Linked DNA regions of Rattus norvegicus. The protein of the gene in region 1 purifies or fractionates together with the protein of each later gene. This does not show direct contact. Links are inferred from orthologs where the notes say so. Each region holds a gene or a part of one and is shown in the gene's direction. Other genes may lie near its edges. The genes, in order: Pold3 and Sprtn.

Region 1 (3,807 bases):
CCATATCCAGAGCTTGCTTTTCCTCTCAGTGATACCTTAGGTAACTCACTTAATGTTTGTACCTGATAGTGTCTTGTAAATATTATTCCAGTTCTCAAAGAGAAAAAATACTTTTGGACTTGCCCAGAGGGAAGCAGATTTGAATTAATTCAGTTTTATCATTGAAGGTGGTAGTGAGATGGGAACATCTAGGCATTCAAAGGTAGAATACAGGGTTCAATAGTTAAAAAGCACCGGCTGCTCCTCTAAAAGGCCTGGGTTCAATTCCCAGCACTTACATGGTGGCTCACAACCATCTATAACTACCCAGGGCATCTATAACTAATGCTCTCCTCTGGGCTCCACAGGCTCTAGACATGCATGTGGTGCACAGATACACATGCAGATAAAATACCCATACAAACAAAATAAGTAATTTTTTTTTAAAGGTAGAATAGAAAAGATGTTGCTACGAATGTAGCAGTCACCCAGTTTTAAGCTCTATTCTTGAACATCATGACTACCTGCAGCTCTGTTTCTATTGTAAATTAAGATGAACTTAAGGGCTGCCAGGCCTGACGATTTGATCCCTGGGATTTGCATGGTAGAGGGAGAGAGCATACACCACTGAGCTTCACACATATACCATGGCATACACACACCCAGCATACATATAATAAAGTAGTAGATGTAGTTAAAAAAGTTAAGGCCCCAAAGCTGAATTTGGTATTTTTAGGTCTTTGTTTGCTGTCATTTAGAGCTGTGAGGTAATGAGAGATTAGTGAGGAGCAGAAATGAAGATTGCAGATGTTTTCTTAATCAACTGTGATCTCCTTTAGGACAGGGACTGTTTTTTATCCCTTGCTCCTAACATGTTACCTGTGGACTGTCAAAGAGTGATGGATTACTACTGTATGATGGGTTGTACATCATCTGCCGTACTTTATTTGTAGGTAAACTTAAAGTCAATTTGGATTCAGAACAAGCAGTAAAGGAAGAAAAAACAGTGGAGCAACCTCCAGTGTCTGTCGCTGAACCAAAGCTGGCAGCTCCCCCAGCTCTGAAGAAATCCAGCAGAAAGTCAGAGCCTGTGAAGATGCAGCAGAAGGAAAAAAAGTGGTAGGAAAATTTTGTCCCTTGGGGGAGGGGAGAGTGTCTTGTGGAGGTGAGATGGTCTGCTTGGTTGTCTGCAGCAGGCAGTTTTCAGCTCAGCATTAAGTCCCACTTAATGTTTAGGGATGCAGCCATCCAGGTAGAGTGAAGACAGAAGCCCCATGGCTCATCCAGTGAGTCAGGACCACAGAGCAGCTGGCTTGGGGGATTTAGGATCCAGGGCTGCATTTGTCCCTGTTGATGCAAAGGGATTGCCTTTGCCTCCAGACTTCAGGTTAAACGTGTAGACACTGTGTAAATGTGCCTGTGTGTGAATGTGTGTGTGTAGACACTGTGTAAGTGTGCTTGTGTGTGAGTGTGTGTGTGTGTGTGTGTGTGTGCTTGTGTTTCACATCAAATTACCCAGTGAGAAGTTACTGTTTCCAGTCCAGTTTAAGAGAAGAAGTTCTTTGTTTTCTTTTTATATCAATGAGTTTATTTTTCAAGTGGTAAAATGTAATTAGAAAAGAAAATAAAAAGCACACAAGCTGTTAAAAATGGATCCAGGAGTTTGAGACACTACCTCATAGCTGGTAGGAATTAGTCTGTTGAAAGAAATTCTAAAGGACACTGTCAGCACTGATAGGCCCACAAAGAACCAACTTTTGTGGTAAAGTTGGAGCAACAAAATAGTGACATTTCAGAGGGGTAAGGCTCTGTCCAGTGGGCCTTACCTCCCAGGAACACATGATATATGTGGATTAAAATGTCCCCAGCCATGATCACAACACTGACTGTTAGAGGCTGTTACCAGGCATCTACTCAGTATTTCCCTGTTGAACAGCAAGTCAAGTGTAGGTTTTTAGTAGTAGGTGTCCTTTACCAGGTTGAGGCTTCTTCTCTTTTCTATTCCAGGTTTGCTGAGAGGCTTTTACTCATTGATTTTACATTTTACACCCGCTTTCTGCTTTTACTAAGGTGGCTCATAAACTTTCTCTGCTAATGTGGTAGATTATACTGATTTACGTGAAAATGTTAAACCAGCCTTGCATTCTTAGCATTAGCTCCCTGGTCATACTATTTTACACACTGCTAGATCAGTTGATGTAACTCTAGAGGGAGGGTTGTTTCTATATTTTTGAGGATATCTATATCCTCAAATATCTATTTTATGTCATCTGTTTGCTGGTAATTGGCTAGCTTTAGTATCAAACTTGTGTTAACTTCATAAATTAAGAGGAGTTTCCCATTTTCCAAAAGACTTTGTGAACTTTATTTTCTATTTTTATATTTATTGTCTGGGGTGGGGGCTATGTACACACCATGGCACAGAGGGCATTCTCGAGGGAGTCAGTTTCCGCCATGTGGGCCTGGGATAGAACATAGTTTATTAGATTTGGCACTAAGCACCTTGACCTGCTGAGCCATCTCTGGCCCTATGTAGATGTATTTCCAGTACATTTAAATATATGATAAATCTATCAGTGAATATGGGCCTGGGTTTTCTTTATAGGAAGGATTTTTATTTTTGTGTGTGAGAGCTTCTTTAGATAGTGTTATTCAGATTTTCTAGTTCTTTTTGGTTTTGAGTAAGTTGTGCTTTTAAAGGAATTTATTTCCTCTAAGTGCTTGAACTTACTAAAGTTGTTCACAATGCAGTCTTGTTTTTGGAGTATTTATAGACTGTATAGTTAAGACTACAGATTCCTTTATTCTCTAGTTCTTACTTGGAAGTACATGTTTTCCTCCTTTTGTAAAAGGCTTATTAATCTTTTCTCCTTAACAGAACAACTTTGGGCTTTTAAATTTTTCTTTCTTCTCTATTTCATTGCTTTCCACTAATATGTTTATTTCTTTTGGCTTATGTTGTGTTTATTTTATTTTTTTCTAGTTGAAGTAGGAAAAAAATGATGTTCAAAATGAAATAAGACAGGTATTCAATGACAAAAAGACCCTGGCTTACATATCTACATGACTGTAACACACAATAGGCCCCTAATTATTTATAGATTAAGTGAAAGCTGTAATGGAGAAAGCAGACAGAAAAGCTGAAAAATGTCAAGACAGAGTCTAGGTTTTTATTACATCATTAGGATGACTTTATGGTCTTGTCTGTGCCTTTGTTCACACTGTTCTTTCACTGTAGAATACTTATCTTCCCTTCCTACCTGTTGAATGTCTACTAGCGTTTAACAGTCGTATCCCACAGCTATTTGTCCATTAAGTTTTATCATGTCCTATAGTAGCTAGTGCACTTGGCCAGAGCAGGCTCCTCTTTTGAAGCAAGGTTTCACTGCGAGGCCCAGGTTGGCCTTAGTCTTAGAAGCCTCTCTGTGGAAATTATGGGCATGGCCTGCCAGAGCTTCTTGAGAACAGTATTTCCTTCCTGGTCTTTGTATTATAGCTGATTAGCTGCTTATTAATTGTGTGTTAAAAAACTAAAAGGCCAGTTAGCAGGGTTTGGGGGCCATCTAGAGGACTCTAGATTAAAAAATGGCCTATGGAGAACTGGGGAAACCTTTTATTCTGGCCACCTATAAAGTGATGTAGTTATAGTTATAACCGTATATATCCCCAGAGAACCAGTCTCACTGGGCATGGTGGTTAACCATTCAGGAGGCAGAGGTAGGAGCATTTCTGTAAGTTCAAGACTAGCCTGGTCTATACATTGAGTTCCAGGACAGCCAGCACTACATAGTGTTGTGTCTGCCCTTTAATCTCAGCACTCAAAGCAGA
Region 2 (4,329 bases), on another chromosome or scaffold:
TCCTGGATCCACTCCATGGAAAGGTCAACCTTTTCCTCCTCTGCCTCCGGGGTGGCCAGTTCCTCCTCGGCCTCATCCTCAAACGGGTTGCTGCCCTTGGAAGTGACCGGTGGTGGCGCACGCAAGGCGGCTGCCTCCTCCTGCTCCCGTCTCCTCTTGTCGCTGAGCGCCCTCTTGGTTTCCTCCAGCACTTCCAGCCACTCGCGTTTAATCTTGGCATTTTCCGCTTGAAAGATTCGGCTCTCAGGGAACATGAGCAGCTTGAACATGTCTTTCATAGGTGGATTGTCTTTGACGTTGACCACAGCCAGGCGGTCCAGTGGGTAGAGTGCGTTGTAGCGGTACATGCCTCGCCGTTGTGGTAGCCAAGTGGCCACCAGCAGACAGTCGTTCATGAGGAAGCCATGCACTCGCTGCAGCTGGGCCATATGGTCTGCCTCGTATTCCACCAGGTCCCCGTTGTACACAAGGTACTGACCTGGTGTCTCCAGCAGGTCCCTGCAGCCCTCCACCTTCTCCAGCAGCGTGGTGAGCGTTCGCTGCTTGCCCTCCTCTCCCGTCCCGGGGCCCTCGCGAGGGACTCCGGCCGGCCCCGGAAGAAAGCCCGCCTGGGCCGCCCCGCGCTCCCGCGGTCCCGCGCCCGCCGTGTCCTCACCCGTGGATGCGCCCGCGGCAGCGGCGGGCAGCAGTGCCAGCGGGATGCTCTCCAGACTGCTCTTCTGCTCCGTCAGCAGGTGGCTCAGCTGGTACATCTCGCTCTCCAGGTAGGAGATCTCGCGCGCCGTCTCGATGAACTGCCGGTAGTTCTGGTAGACGTTGCGCTTCAGGTTCTGCGCCGTCTCCTCCGCCAGCGCCTGCACCCGCTGTCGGTGCTCCTGCAGGTCGCGGTCGCCGTCCGACTGCTGCGACAGTTGCTTCACGTACAGCCGCGCCTCGAAGCCCCCCGACTCCAGCTGCCTCCGCAGGCGGCTCGCCCCGCTGTCCGACATGGCTGCCACCCGCCCTGCTCCCGCGGCCCGCAGTGGCTGTCACTCGCCGCCTCCCGGCCCCACCCGAGCCCGGTGGAGAAGCGGTAGAGGAAGCGGGGCGGGAGCAACACCCAAACGCCTGCGCCGGGGCCGAGCGCTGCATTGCGCCTGTGCCAAAGTCGAGACTCTCACACTGCGCCTGCGCCCGGGGCGGAGTGTCGACGACGCGCCTGCGCGGAAACGGCAGCGTCTTAAGGCGCGTGCGCGGACGGGCCAGTACGGAAGTCAGAGGAGGGTCGGGCACGGACCAGACTTGACGTGAGGCGCTGGACCTCGGCGGCGGTCTGGAGACAACTGGCTTCCTGAAGCCGTCCCTACCCCGAGCCCAGCGTTCCTAAGTCTGTGTCCGCGGGGCAGAGCCGAGCCACCTTCGGTTAGGCGTTCGAGGCGAGCCCGCGCGCCCTGACAGCGGGGCCGGGAGGTCTCGCGAGATCCGTACGCCTCACGAGCCCGACCGGCGTCTTGGGAGCGGCTGAAGTGAGAGTATCGGGATGGACGAGGATCTGGTGGTCGCGCTGCGGCTGCAGGAGGAGTGGGACGTGCAGGCGGCGCGGCGCGCGGCGGCGCGGGAGCCCCTATCGTTGGTGGACGCGTCCTGGGAGCTGGTGGACCCCACCCCGGACCTGCAGGCGCTCTTCCTGCAGTTTAACGATCGCTTCTTCTGGGGTCAGCTGGAGGCCGTGGAGGTGAAGTGGAGTGTGCGCATGACACTGTGAGTGCGCCCACGAACGGCTCGGAACGTAGGGAAGGGCAAGGGCGCTGAGTTGTCGTTGGTGTGTCCCCTCCTCGTGGCCCAACGGCTCTCAGAGATGTACCAGCAGGATCCCTCATCTACCCACTGAGTTTGAGAAATCCTGTTCTAGATAATAATCTGCCCTGCATATACACCGTCACATAGCAGCCTGAGCTGAAGCAGGCTGAGACGTAGCGTACTTCTAACTTCACATCGGCCCCGTGACAAGTCCCGGTGCGGAGCAGAGAGGATAACAGTGGGTGAGGGTGTGAGGGTGATCAAGTGTTATTAAAAAGCCCTCTATCAGGGACTTTCGTTGAACTGCCCAAGGATAAGGATTTGCTGGCTCTTTTTTTTTTTTTTTTTTTTTTGGAGACAGGGTCTCACTATGTATCTGTGGCTGCCCTGGAATTCACTCTGTAGACCAGGCTGGCCCGGAACTGGGAGATCCTCCTGCATCTGCCTCCCACGGACTAGGATGAAAGGCCTGCGCCACCATGCCAGGCGAGGGTTTGTTTTTTGTTCTGTCTCCTTTGTGCATTGGGTGAACCTAATCCATTGTCCGTGACTGTTTTCCAGGTGTGCTGGCATCTGCACCTATGAAGGGAGAGGAGGCATGTGCTCCATCCGTCTCAGTGAACCCTTGTTAAAACTCAGACCAAGAAAGGACCTTGTAGAGGTAGTCTTCGCATAAACTGGTTCCTCAACATTTAGATTTTTATTTTTCAATGATGTGTTCTTGATAGTAGCTCATACTATCTTCAACCACAAGATCCTCTGGTCTCTGCCTGAGGGCTTACAACAGTGCATCACCATTCCCGTCCAGGGTATTTTGTTGATTTTAAGAGACAGTCTCTATTCCTTAGATTGGCCCTGGTCTTAATGCTTCTCTTGCCTCAGCCTCTCCAGTGAGCTGGCATGCAAGTACCCAGCTATTTTTAGAGGGCGCAGGGTTGTGGGGGGTTTGATGGTGAGGGAGGCAGAGCTTGCTGTAGCCAAGCTGATCTCAAACTCCTGAGCCTTCTGCTTCCACCTTGAGTCTGGGATCATGGGTCAGGATCATGCCCAGTGGCCGTTCAGAGCTGGGCTGCTTGCTCTTTTGGTGTCCGCATTTCCATTGTTGGCATCTGGAGTCTGCATGGCAGAGTTTTGACTCTATTGGATGTTAAAGTTTTTGTGTGGTTGGGTTCACCAACCTTTTGGGTTTGGGTACATAGTTAAATGGGCCTTCCTAAGCAGCGTTCATTCTGTGAAGAGGGGTACTGGGTTCTGTAGAGCTTGGAATATATGTAAAGGTTTGTACTTGGCTCTGCAGAAGGCTAAGACTGCAGGTTAAAAAAGAATTCATTTTAGCTTCACACTTGCCCTAGAAAATCAATACTTGGTTTTGTGTTTCAGACTCTCTTGCACGAAATGATCCATGCTTACTTATTTGTCACTAATAATGACAAAGACCGAGAAGGACACGGCCCAGAGTTCTGTAAACACATGCATCGAATCAACCAGCTGACAGGAGCCAACATAACGGTCGGTACACTGAGCCACACAGGTTTGGGGAGCAGGCAGGACCAGGGTCTTGGCTGTGTAGACCAGTCTTGCCTCATACTCAAAATTCTAACTTAGCCTCCTAAGTGGTGGGATTGTGGGTATGTCCCACCACGCCTAGTAGCCATTCATTCAGCAAAGGGGAACTAGGTAGAAAGAGATTTTCAGCCTTGAACAAGAGTCCTACCATTTAGTCTCTAGGGGTAGAGTGGCTAAGGAGCCTGCAGGCCTCTTCGTTGAGGCTTCAGCAACTGCAGGCCAGCATTTCAGGCATGGGACCTTCAGGAGTGACTCCAGCTCATCTTCCCTGAGCTCTTCTGGAACCATCGCTGCTATGCAGTGGCGTCACGGCAGTGCCTGCTTTTGAGATCGTGACAGTAAAGGATGTGCGGTGCACCGTGAGCACTGACAATGTTGTTAACTATGAGGGTCTTGTGTGATTGCTTAGGAAGGATCTGGCCCTTTTGCAGTTTTTATCATTCCAGGAACTTAAGGAAGTGTGTGCCTCCTCACCTTTCCTTCTGTGCAGTTTTATTCTCTGTGTGCGCTGATGCTCCGCTTGCATGTGTGCCTGTGGGAGGGCGTCAGATCCCTGGGCTCTGTAACCAGAGTTACAGATGGTTGTGAGCTGCATTGTGGGTGCTTGGCAGCTGAACCTAGGGTCCTCTGTAAGAGTAGCCTCTTACCCACTGAGCCATCTCTCCAGCCCTGTGGTCTCAGGTCTTTCTCTCTATGGTAGCTTAGTAAGGTTGTGGTGAACATCCTCGGGCCTAGCTTTTAATGATGATGTTGTTCACTCTGCAACATTTTCATTCATGGTGGTGTTTTCTGGTTGTGGGGTTTTTTGCCCACAAAAATCTCTTGCTTTACATGCTTCTATATTTACAGTTGGAAGTTTTAAATTACCTGATGCTTCCCATTATAGTGAACTTTGGAAAAGAAATTAAATATAGTAGCTGTCCCCAAATGAAACTCTGAGAAATGGACTATCTCAAGACAAAAGGACTCCGTGGGTAAAATATC

Evidence for each region.
Region 2: the proteins of Pold3 (region 1) and Sprtn purify together in Homo sapiens (affinity purification with mass spectrometry; 3 studies listed by BioGRID, with this or other methods). This does not show direct contact. The link is inferred for Rattus norvegicus from reciprocal best matches to the Homo sapiens genes POLD3 and SPRTN.

The regions. Positions count from the first base shown.
Region 1 is NC_086019.1:163,841,125-163,844,931, reverse strand, and holds part of Pold3 (DNA polymerase delta subunit 3), read left to right. Parts: intron 1-932; coding exon 933-1,098; intron 1,099-3,807. UniProt on the Homo sapiens protein: Accessory component of both the DNA polymerase delta complex and the DNA polymerase zeta complex.
Region 2 is NC_086037.1:69,753,734-69,758,062, forward strand, and holds the start of Sprtn (DNA-dependent metalloprotease SPRTN), read left to right. Parts: upstream 1-1,255; 5' UTR 1,256-1,519; coding exon 1,520-1,740; intron 1,741-1,750; exon of another isoform or gene 1,751-2,021; intron 2,022-2,340; coding exon 2,341-2,440; intron 2,441-3,159; coding exon 3,160-3,288; intron 3,289-4,329. Other genes in the region: Exoc8 (exocyst complex component 8), read right to left, coding at 1-989. UniProt on the Homo sapiens protein: DNA-dependent metalloendopeptidase that mediates the proteolytic cleavage of covalent DNA-protein cross-links (DPCs) during DNA synthesis, thereby playing a key role in maintaining genomic integrity.